2 linked regions of the Diceros bicornis minor genome follow. The protein of the gene in region 1 interacts with the protein of each later gene in a pairwise test. Links are inferred from orthologs where the notes say so. Each region holds a gene or a part of one and is shown on either strand. Other genes may lie near its edges. The genes, in order: ZHX1 and ZMYND11.

The links.
Region 2: the proteins of ZHX1 (region 1) and ZMYND11 interact in a two-hybrid assay, tested with the Homo sapiens proteins (2 studies listed by BioGRID and IntAct). The link is inferred for Diceros bicornis minor from reciprocal best matches to the Homo sapiens genes ZHX1 and ZMYND11.

What each region holds. Positions count from the first base shown.
Region 1 is NC_080760.1:38,902,214-38,908,280, reverse strand, and holds the start of ZHX1 (zinc fingers and homeoboxes protein 1), read left to right. Parts: upstream 1-2,392; 5' UTR 2,393-2,524; exon of another isoform or gene 2,525-2,611; intron 2,612-6,067. UniProt on the Homo sapiens protein: Acts as a transcriptional repressor. Increases DNMT3B-mediated repressive transcriptional activity when DNMT3B is tethered to DNA. May link molecule between DNMT3B and other co-repressor proteins.
Region 2 is NC_080775.1:72,227-78,293, forward strand, and holds the start of ZMYND11 (zinc finger MYND domain-containing protein 11), read left to right. Parts: upstream 1-2,476; 5' UTR 2,477-2,630; intron 2,631-2,797; exon of another isoform or gene 2,798-2,921; intron 2,922-3,414; exon of another isoform or gene 3,415-3,433; intron 3,434-6,067. UniProt on the Homo sapiens protein: Chromatin reader that specifically recognizes and binds histone H3.3 trimethylated at 'Lys-36' (H3.3K36me3) and regulates RNA polymerase II elongation. Does not bind other histone H3 subtypes (H3.1 or H3.2).

The sequences.
Region 1 (6,067 bases):
TGCCATACCAGACTGTGTATGACAAGCGGCAAAACATATGCATAAAAAAATCTAGATTCTTCTAATTGAGCCAATCCATGGGTAAAAACTTACTTCTGGAGCCACACAGCTGTTGAAATCAGTCATATTTACAATTTTTACAAATGAGTTTATTTTAATAAAAACAAGTTACTCTGTGAGCATGATCTCTAAACAGATTTATGTGGGCTGGCGCAATCTGCTATGCTAAACATATATTCATATTGCTTAGGTCTGCAACCAGCTTTTTTGAGTGTGATAACAGTCTTGCTTTGTACAAGGATACCAAATAATTGGCAGCAATTCAGCCAAGGACACTGGTTCTCAGCACTGTGCTATTGAAATTGTTTTCCTGGACAGAACTGCCCTGCGGGCATGGCCCTAAATTGGGAAGACTCTGGGCTACTGGCATTGGGCAGTGAACCAGGCAGACAGCTTCAAGAGAGAAGGAGGTGACTCTATAAACTGGTGCTAAAGAAGAAGAGGAGGAGGAGGGGGAGGAGGGGTGGGAGAAGAGGAAGGAAGGGAAAAAGGAAGGGAGGGAGGGAGAGAGGAAGGGAGAGGGAGACAGAGGAAGAGAGGCAGAGGGAAGGTGAGATTTATATTCATTAATCCATGCCTTTAAAAGGGTCTCTATGTATATCTCCTTGATCTCTTCTCACCTCTTGTCTTGCTTGACGTTTTTATGCTCATGTTTTTTGCTCGGTTACTAGACTATAATCTCCTTGAAGACAGAAATATTGCCTGACTCAGCTTTGCATCTCCTACAGTGCCTGATATACGCTGGTGCTCAAAAACCTAGTTGCTAAATGCATGAACGAAAGAATGAATTTCTGTATCTGAAGCATTTCCTTTCAAGTCCTAAACCGAGGTTCTCAGTGGGCACAGTACTGCCCCCTAGGGGGCATATTGAAATTTTGTGGGGGCAGTTTTTGTCTTGTATTGTTCTCATATTGGTACTAGAGTATTTATACAGTGAAAAACATTATTTTTACTGATATTAGTATAGTCTTTTAGAATAAACTACTTTCCCTTTTTTCACGTTTATATTATTGACACATTTACATTGGTTTCTTGCAATTGTTTTGTAGATAGTTATCTATGAATTTGATTCCAGGAGAGTAAAGTAGTACTACATTTTTGTTGTAAGTACAGACTGTTGAGTATGGCAGGATTGAGCACCTCTGTTTATAAGATCATTAAGCGTTGCTTGATTCTGCTTCCACAAGTTCTGGGATCCTAAGACGAAACATACAAATAAAAAGAAGCTGGTGTACTTTGATTTCAACAATCAGGTTCTCGCCACAAGCAACTGCGTATTTTAGGGTTGATGTGGCTCGGTGGGGCACGGCTGTCAAAGCGCAGAGGGTGAGTGAGTGGGGCACGCACGCCCAGGCCCCTGACTGCACTGCCCTGCTGTGCAGAGCAGTTCGGATGGTGACTCGTTCCTCTCGGCTTGGGTGTGTACTTTTCTTCATTTAAAAAATGATGTAGGGGGTGGAGGTAAGGGGAGGTGGGGAGTGGCGGTGACGCCTTCCTGTCTTCCCCGAAGCCTGGGTCCATAGCTGGCCGTCTCTGCGAAGCTGGTTCACAGTGAAGCTGTCCGGATTTGAGGACCACGGCTGGAAAAGAAAGCCCTCCAGAAAAGTGACTCGTGACCAGGCAAAGGAGGATTTTCAGAGAGCAGAGGGAGCAGAGGGCGGCTCTGTCTAGCACGGTGGTTCGAAGCGAGGTTGAACTTCTAGTGCCAGCCGGTGGAGCTGCGGCTTGTGGAATCGGGACCGAAGGCAAGAAGAGGCGGGCCGGCGATTGACAGAAGGTGGGGCTTCGAGCTAGAATCGAGACCGGTCTCGGGAAGGCGGGGCTTCCATTGACAGTGGGCGGGGCCTCCGCGGAAAGGAGGCGGGGCTTAGGTAGTACTGCCGCCAGGAGATGGGGCTTAGGATGACGAGAGGCGTTTCTCACCATCCGGCTACAACATTGGGACGGCGGAGCGCCCAGAGGGCGGGGCCACAGCTGGGAGAAGGCGGGGCTGCCCTCTGGATTGACCTGAGTGACGACCAGGCTTCTATTGCTAGCGGGCGGAGCTATCGCCGGCAAGGGGCGGCGCCGCTCCGAGACCTGGAGAAGGCGGGGCTTCTATTGACAGAGGGCGGGGCTTCCGCATACTGGGGCGGGGCTTCTGTTGACAGAGGGGCGGGGCGGCTGCCTCCCTCTCTCCTTGCGCCAATCCAACGGGTAGAGGCCCGGGTCGAACCCTAGGGGAGCAGTAGGGTCCCGGAGCGCAGAGCCCGGCGCGGAGAGGGGTGGGGGCGCGCGGAGGGCGCGCGCGCGGGAGGGCCCCGCCTCGGCCGGCTCTTCCCTCCCCCCCCCACCCCCGGTCGGCCGCTGGGGCGCGCGCCTCGCCTCGCACCCCCACCCCCGACCCTTCAAGCTCCCCGGGGCCCGCCGAGCGGCCGAGGCCGGGTCCCGGCCCGCTGAGCGGTTCCGGGTGTAGGGTTCACAGGTCAGAGTTGACTCCCTGAAAAGTGCAGCCGGTTTGAAATGCAAGATGGCGGCGGTGGGGCGCTGAGAGGCGCGGCGGCCCCTGCAGGTAGCGGCGCGAGTCGGCCCCGCGACGAGCTGGCCGGGGCGCCCCGGGGCTGCGGGTGGGAGCGGGCAGCGCAGAGCCCACGGCCGGCGCGGCGGGCCGGGAAGGAGGGCGGCGCGGGCCGGACGGCGAGGGCAGCGCCGGGGCAGAGACTCCGGGGGCTGGGCGCGCTCGCCGCGGCGGGTGGCGGGGCGGACCGGCGCGGGCCGTCCGAGCGGGAGGGACCGGGCCTGCCTGGGCCAGGGATCGCCGCCGGTGGACGACCCTGCGCCTCCTTCGCGCTTTCGGGGTCTCTGCGGCCGTGGAAGGAGCTGGGGGTGGGCTGTGTAAAGGAGATTTCAGCTCTCCTGTCTCTGAGAGGACTGAGCGACTTGGGACTGTTGGGGGAGTGCAGACTGGTCTCCTGGGGGAGGACGCCTTAGGGATGGAGGACTCCAGCAGTGCTGAGGGTCCAAGGGGAGGTAGCGAGCCCTGCCCTGCGGGGGCGTGTGGCCGCCTGGGGACTGCCTCCCTGAAAGTAAGGAGAGATTCTCTTGCTGGAGCTGGGCGCGCTGGCGTTGTGGTTGGAGCCCCGGGAAACCCTTCGGGGAGAGGCTGTACCCCACTTCGTGGAAGCCTGGGCACACACTTCAGGACCGGGCCATGCCCCCACTTTGGGGCAAGACTCCGAGTTGAGTCCTTAAGAACCATATTACGTTTTGAGGAAGCCCTGGGACTTAGGGAGAAGTTAAAGAGAATGGAAATGTTATCCGGCCCTTTCAGGACGCAGGGAGGCTGACCAGGGACTCCTTCAAGCCTGAGGGCCTAAAGGGAACAGTCTCCTAATCCTTGCGGGGAATGGGGGGCTGGGAAGGAGATGTGAGAGGACAGGGCTCTCATGGCAGGAAAGAGGAGCCCTGGCGGATGCCCTTTGCCTGTAATTTACACCGAAGTTCTGGGTAAAGGGGCTTGAAATTCTTTGTTTCAGCACGTCTCCCCTCTTTGGTAACAGTAAGGAAAGAGCAAAACCCCGGAGAAGGAAAAGCTTCTATTTGATATCCTTAGCTTAGGTTAGAGAAGGATCAAGCTGTGCTCAGGCTTCACTGAGAGACTCGGGGTAGGAGAATTAGGAAGCAGGAAAGGGGATGGATAGAGGAGGAATATGGGGCAGAGGTTGGGCAGAGCGGGAATTCCACAGCGCTTTTCTGTCATTTCACTCCAGCTCTAAAGAAACACGTGAGAAGAGGCTAATCTTTGCGGGGTGGTGGTGGTGGTGGTGGGGGTGGGGGGGGTGGGGGGTGGTGGGGGTGGGGGGGGGGTGGTGGGGGTGGTGGGGGTGGTGGTGGTGGTGGTGGTGTGTGTGTGTGTGTGTGTGTCGTTGGGTGCTGTAAGGAAAGGCTAACTGATAGAGGATTTGTAATGTGATTAGGTTGGGATTCCATGTAATTTGAAAAGAAGAAGCAATTCTCTTGGAGGTTAAGAGGATAGAAGAAAAGGGAAAATCACAGAATTGGGAAATAGAGTGGTTCTCAGGGAGGAAGAAGCCAGCTTTCTCCCAAGAATAGTGACTGTTTGTTGGGTTGAAGTGTATGTTTGTCCGTACCTACAGAAGTGCACCTTCAGATTTGTTGGTATTGGTCATTGTTTCTCAGTCTTTGTCTGAAAGCTTTAGCTTGTGTTATATGGTGCTACATGAATTATCCTTGCTTCTGAAAAATTATCCTGAAAGAGTCGTTTGTTTTTATGCCAACAGTGAGGATGAACAGGAATTGGTTCTAACAGGAATATTGGCCCTAGTCTAGCCATGGATTTTTTATTTCTTAATAGCCATTCTGACTCTTGATTTTAAGCAAAAGAAATGTGAATGCTGCCAAAGACAATAATGCGCTCACAGGATGTAAAAGAAAAAAAGACTTTCATGAATATTTTCTCCTCTTAGTTTTTCTCTCCTTATTCTCTAAGCCTTTTACGGCTAAGCAGACTAATTTTATGCAAAATAAAATGTAAAATCATGGGTCCTTGCAGTATAGAAGTGATAGCATTTCATTTATCAATGTCTTTTTGTAGAAGAACCTTTCAAATGCTTTCCTTAGTGATCAGGATTAAAATGAGAAAAAAAGAATTAAAGTAAGACTTGGGTAATTGATGACAGCTATGATTCATACAGATTTCTTGAACCGTTCTGGTTTTTTTAAAAGAGCTTTAACGTCTTCAATGGAAATGTTTTTAAAAACACATTTCAAGTATAAACTAGTTGAGAGCTGCACATTTGGAACATTATTATACATGTGTGCTGTTCTTTGGTTTTTCCAAAGTGCGTGTAGCTCTAGTTTTATATTCAGTTCTGAACAGATTAGATTGGGTGAACCAGAGTGACATTGATGCCAGATGGTCTGAAAATATGCTACGGCTGCAAACATAACTGTGCCTGTGCTGGGGAACACTCATTAGTAGATAGATGTCTTTCCCTTATAGCGAGCTTATTATTTCACTGGATTTGGAGGACAATTGATGAATGATGTAGCAATTATTTCACCTTGAATGACACTTGTATTATAAGTTCTTCTTTTCAATAAATGTGAATAAAGTTTTACAATTATTTTGTTAATAAACTTAATAGCATAGGTGAGGTAGTTCATTTTGAAGATTTTCTCCCTTTTGTATTATATTTCACATTAAAACTGCAAGGTGATGTTATGATGTATTATACATTTTCTTTCTTGTAATGTTCATTGGGCACAAAAATGTGATATTTGGGACTTAGTTTGCTTTAAGTTATGCCTTTATACTTAAATGGAAGTACTAGTAAAATTACTAAAATGATTACAGATGTAGCTGAGGAAATAACCTTTTTATGTACATTACAGCATTGTGGATTTGGGCTCAAAAGGCTCTACTTATTTGAATATTAACAGTGTTAAAAGTTCAGTGCCTAAACTAGTTTTTAATCTAATATCATATTCAATAAATTCAGGGAAGTGTTTGGGAATATCTATTGCACCATTTATGGTAATAGCCAGTATAGCACATTCACTTTTACATCTAATTTTTTTCTAACTTAAAATCCTTTTAAATCATTCTGTGTAATTTCAAAAGTAATTTAAATTACATTTCTTTGAAGGGAAAAAACTATGATACTAGCCATTGAATAACAGCCCATGTTGCCATAATATTACTGATATATTTTATTGTGTCCTTGTTGCTCTGATATATTTGTAGTAGTGAGTAACCAGATTTACATGACTGAAGCTGCTGATTTAGATTACTAATCAGCATATACATTTGATTTTACATTTTGGAGATCTGTATTTTATACAGTTAATTTTTTAAGTAAATATTTATGTAAATTTTTGTGTAGTTGTCAGATTTTGGTCTTAAAGCATACTTAATCTTTGCAGTTTCTATAATCCATCTTCCATAATGTATTTTAAGAGGTATAAAGATGGTCTTATATACCTTTGGTCTAAACAAATATGATGA
Region 2 (6,067 bases), on another chromosome or scaffold:
ATATTCTCCCAATTTGTTTGCCTTTTAATTTTATTTGTACAATCTTCCCCACCTTACAAGGGTAATTCGTTATGGAAAAACCATTCTTGTAAATTGAAAATGCAGTTACCATTACTTTAAATTAGAAAAAATGCTATGCATTTCTGAGTCCCCATAAATGAAAAACACCAAGTCTCACTGAAATGGACCTGCTTACTTTACTAGTTTGCATTACTTATAATAACCCAACATAACACTTTCTATTCACTAATTTCTCTATAATGTGATGCTCATCTGCATTCCTGAAGATTTTTCACAGTTATTCTGCCTCATACACTTAAGACTATGTTCTCAAACAAAGCATACACACAGTACTCAATGTTTATGTAATTTAACCTTTGATACAAAACAAAAACATAAAACCAAACATAATAGTAAAGGCAAAATAAAGAAACAAAAACAATGTATTTTAGGAGCATGTGTAGCAGCTTATTACTGCTACATATTAGCAAACCAGAAACACCCTGAGAGGAGAATTTAAGAGAAGATCCCTACTCTATACAGCTGGGAAGCCAGGACTAAGAAATCCGAATTGGTCCTCATTATGTGAAGAAAGTGGGAGAGAGCATATTAGAAAAAACTCCTTATAAGGCGTAAAAGTTGTAACCCTAATGAACATATTTTAATGTAAGTCTATATTTGGTTTTGACATATAGGATTCATAAAATTTTATATAGTCAAATTTATCACTCTTTTCTTTTGTGATAAAAATCATTGCTATAGAGCTTAGGATATTCTTCTCCACTCTCAATCTTACTAATATTCACCTATATTTTATTCTACCTTTTGAAAAATGATTTTCGGTTTTTACAATTATAGTATTTAAGTCATTTGAATTATTTTTAAGTGTGAAGTGTACAGTAAGAATATAATTTGATTTATTTTTTAAATAGACAAATTTTCCAGATCAATTTGTTGAATAATCCATGCTTCTCTATTTACATAACATTTCTTAAATCAGAATCTGGAAAAAGTGATATGCTGATCAAGTCAGGTATTAGCTAAGTGTGGAGAGTGCTGGTTGGGGTTACACAAGAACAGGAATGTTGTGTGGGGTCCTTCCTTGGGTGGTGCAAAGTCTCTGAAACGTGTAAGTTGATGCAAACCATTCCTCACTGCCCACCACTCTTCCTTTTCTTCTCTTATCCCTCACACGTTGGCCCCTTGCCTCTTCTTGGCAATCTGACAGATAACTTCATGGTGTAACTTAAGTTGTACAGAAGTAACTATTTTGGTCTTCTCCGCCTCCCCCCAACTCCCAACCCCAAACCTTTGACCTCCAGACCACCTCCTGTCCCCCATATTCACTCAGATGAGGGAAAAATGAGGTAAATAAAACTGTTCTGAAGGGAAAATAGAGCCAAGGGTTAAATTCTAGGCAACACCAATAGATAAGCTATCTAACTTACCTTAGATAGAATTAGAGACAGTATCTGGAGACAGTACAAAAATTGATGCCTAAGAAATTTAATTGGAGAAAAATGTAGAGTTATGCAGTCACTTCTTTCCTAAAAAGTAAGCTTCGTTTTATACATACATGATGTTGTCTGACTTGAGTGGTCTTCATGAACTATATAGAACCATGTAGTCCTCTATTTTATAGATGACTGAAAAAGAAAAAAAAAGGTGATTTACTTAAAGCTATTGTTAGAATTCCTGGTCCAGCATTCAAACCAGATATGACTTGATTTTTTCTGACATCCTTTAACCCCTCTGCTGGATTTTAATGGCATATGTTCATCTCCAAAATTAAAATGAGTTAAAATTATTTCATGATGTCCCTTGAGATAAGCAAAAACTCTCAGGGCTATAAATGGCTGAAAGATTATGTTTCTTTGACTCATGTACATCATAGAACACATATTCAAGTACCACCCATTTCTAAATTCTAACTTAGTCTTAGAGAAGATTGATGAATTGGATTAGAATCCCAAAATTTCTTGGACAGATTCTTTCCAATGATTTTCAGGTACATATGTCCAATGAGAATCAGAGTAAGAAATTTTGGCTGATAGGCCCTTCCTTCCAAACTCCTAGTAGAGAAAGGTCATTAGGGAAAATATGTGAAATCCATAAAAGTATGCTTATCTCTGAGACTTCTCTAGTTAGATCTAGCATCAAACTAAAAAAGATAATCTACTTTTCCTTACACAAATTTGTAGTGTTTTCGCTAAATTTATAATGGGTGGTCCCGTCCTTTTCGAAGTCCTATTTGTGTACGTATGGATGAGGAATTTAGCATACCCCTGCAATTCCTTTTGATGACAGAATTAAAAAGATATTAAACCACTTTACCAATTTTGTTAATTCAAAAACTAATGCTTCTCAAAGACTTCGCATTCCCGGACGGTGCACATTACAGAACAGGTACGTCCCACGTGAAGACAGCCGTCGGCCGGGCACTGCCCTCAGCCCCGCGGTCCGAGCCTAACAATGCTGCGAGCGCCGGGACCTTTGTGCGCTCGGCTCTTGGCTCCCGCGTGCCGGCAGTACGTCGCTTTCACGTGTGTACTGCCATGAATGCCTGTGTGGATATGTAGGAATATGCTGAAACAAATCTGGGGAGGCACGGAGGACAGGACCGAGGGAAGGTGGGTGTGGGCGTGCACGGCGCCGGCCCGGCCGGGAGGGAGCCCGCAGCCCGCGGCCCGGCGGGCCCGCGCCCGCGCCCGAGCCCCGAGCCTTCGGCGCGGCCGGCCGGGCCGCACAGTACACTCCGGGGGCGGGCGGAGGTGGAGGAGGCCGGGCCGGGCGAGCGGCCGCCCCGCGCAGACACCGCCATGTGAGCGGGCCGCGGCCTCGCAGGACGCAAACTTTCCCGGCGGCGGCGGCGCCCCAACTTCCCGCCCCCGCCCGGGCCCGCCGCTCGGCGCGGAGACACCGTAAGTGCGGGCGGCGGCGGGGCCTCCTGCGGCCGCCGCGCCTTCCCTAGTCCGGGCGCTCGCGTGTGATGTGGTGGAGGGTTGTAAACATGGCGCCCCGGCCCCGCCGGGCCGGGCGGAGGGCGGCGGGGAGCCGGCGGGGCGACGACGGAGAGCCGGGGAGGGCGGCGGGGAGATGAGGAGGCCGGGCCCGCGGAGCCGGGGAGGAAGGCGGGGAGATGAGGAGGCCGGGGCCGCGGAGCCGGGCGGAGGGCGGCGGGGAGCCGGCGGGGCGACGACGGAGAGACGGGGAGGGCGGCGGGGAGATGAGGAGGCCGGGCCCGCGGAGCCGGGGAGGAAGGCGGGGAGAGCGAGCCCGCAGATCCGGAGGCGGGGAGGCCGGGAGACGGGGAGCCCCCCCGCGCCCCGCCGGCCCAGGCCCGGGAGGAGGCGGCGGCGGCGGCGAGGAGGAGGCGGCGCGGAGGGGGAGGGCCGGGCGCGGCGGCGGCGGCGGCGAGGACCGGAGCATAATGGTGGGCAGAAGCTCGGCGGGGGCGCGGGCGGGGGCGTCTGTGGCGGGGACGCCGCCGCTTTGTGGAACCCGGGCCCGGCTGCAGCCTCTCGGGCCGGCGGCACGGGTGTGACCGCCGCTCGCCCTCCCGCGAACGGCCCGAGTTGCCCGCGGAGCTTTGTGAGGGGCGGCCGGGGCCTGCGGGGCGGCGGGGCCTGCGGAGGTCCGCCCGCGCCCCCTCGCCTTCTGCGGGCCCGGGAGGGGGAGGCCCCGGAGGAGGAGGACCGCGCGGGGCCTGCTCGGGCCGGGAAGCCAGGGAGTCGCGTGAGCGCCGCCCGCCGGCACGGCCGTCCCCGCACGGCCAGGCCTCGGGGTCCGCGGCCGCGGGTCGGGGTCCGGCGGAACGCGGCCCCGTGAGTGTGGGGAGGGCGGGAGGGAGCTTTCGCGGCTCGTTGTTTGGGAGCGGTGGCCGCAGCTGGGCAGGGCGGTCCCCCAGGACCAGGCGCGGCTCGGTCCGCGTCCCCCGCGGCTGGAACCGGCGGCAGCGAGGCCTCCACCTCCTCAACAGGTCCTCCCGGGCCCCTGGGACCGCCTGCGGGGTCCGCCCTCCTCCCACCCGGCGTCCCGTCCGCAGAGGAGCTGCTCTGCGGGGCCCAGCAGGCCGGCTTGGGATGCGGGGCTCCTGGGGGGGCCCGGGGACCCCAGCTTCCACGTAGACTGTCCTTCACGTCTCTCTGGGTCAGCTGTGGAGGCGCTTACGGTGTGGGCCTGGTGCTGTGTGTCCGTGGTGCCCAGTGTGCGCCTGGTGCTCGGTGTATCTACGGTGTGTCCATGGGGCCCGGTGTTATATACGGCGTGCTCATGATGCTTGGTGTTACATATGGTGTGCCTGGTGTGATATATGGTGTTTGCGTGGTGTCCGGTGTGCACGTGGCACCTGGTGTTACCTACCGTGTGTGCATGGTACCTGGTTGTCCGCGGTGCCTGGTGTGCGCACGGTGTCGGTTGTCCGTGGTGCTGGTGTTAAATACGGTGTGTACATGGTGCCCGGTGTGCGCCTGGTGCCCAGTGTTTATATACGGTGTGCTGTTGATACCCGGTGTTATATGTGGTGAGCCCAGTGTTATATATAGTGTTCGCGTAGTGCCTGGTGTGCACGTGGCACCCGGTGTTACGTACGGTGTCTGCATGGTAGCCGGTGTGGGCAAGTGATACCCCGTGTTACTTAAAGTGTGTGCATGGTGCCCCGTGTGCACATATACGGTATATACTTAGTACCTGTGAGCTCAAAGCAGGTGGCCAGGTAGCCTCTTTAGGGAAGGGTGCCGGAAGGTTGGAGGAGCCCGCTGGGGTCAGATTTTTAGGGACCCACTGGGCTTGCTGAGGTTTAGGTCTGCGGTCCTCCGGTCTGCCTCACCTGGGTGTTCTGCATCCTACAGTAAACCGTGTCCTATGGAGGCAAGAGCCTGCTTAAAAATAATTTAATGTTTGTTGAAAGGCAGAAATTGAAACGTTTACTTGTTTTCTTTTAAACTGAGACATGTAATAGTTGTAGCTTAGTAATTATGGGATGCATAACCTTTTCAGGTTTTCGGGTCATTGATTCTAATGAATGGTTGAAAGTTGTTGGTGCGATAGTCTTGATTGTACTTTAAAAGTTTGAGTGCTTTCTGGTAAGCAAGGTCACCTTCGTGGTTTTTCTGAATTCTTATTGTACAAGCAAGAGATAAAATATGAATTTTGTACAGTTGTGTTATCGGCTAACTGGTGCTGGTTACGGTCATTATTTTGGTGGACTCTTCTTTATAAAATGGCCAGGCTAGAGAATCAAAGATCAGAAGATATGGGATGTGATTAGGACAGAATCAATAAAATATTTTTCCTGCTTAACTCTATCTGTGGTTAACAGAGGATTTCTATCTTTTTTACGTGGTAATTTTTTCATAGATGTTCATATGAAAACTGAATCTCCCTTTTACATTCTGTCAATTGGGCAGTTTATTTTACAGTTACCTATGGCAAGGTGTTTAAGTAAACATACATGTAAGTGCTGGCAGCTTTACGAAGAAAGGTCAATTAAAATGTTAAAATTTGGCTCCTTAGTTCATACTGAATATTCCTAGGATATCATTATGTTGGCACTTTGAGTGGATGTCATCTTGCGTGTTTCTGAGAATTGACATGTGTTTGTTTGAACTCATACCCTTTTGTAACCCCTTTTCATTTAAAGGGTGTTCAGATAGTCTATGATTGAGACATTCATACCCTTTGGCATACCTTAATTGAAGCTAATTAAGAATTTTAACATTTTAATACATGTATCAAATGCTGTCCTAATATTGTTTAAAGCCCTAAACCTCTGGTGTCATTTTCTTTACTTGCCTTTACCATCCTTCGGTTGAATTCTACATGGAATATATCATTTAAACAAAGAGGATGTATCTTGAAAAAAAAATTAAGGAGAAAATGGACAGTCAGACTTAGTCTTATGATAGTTAAAAGCTTTTCACTGTTTGAAAACTTTAACTTGGACTTGACATTGCATTTTTTGCCCAAAGGGTAATTAGATTTTTTGTTCTTAGAGAGGTCCATGGCAAAATGACTTTGCGGCCAGATGGCTTGGGTCTGAATCCCACCTCTGTCATTTACTAGCAGA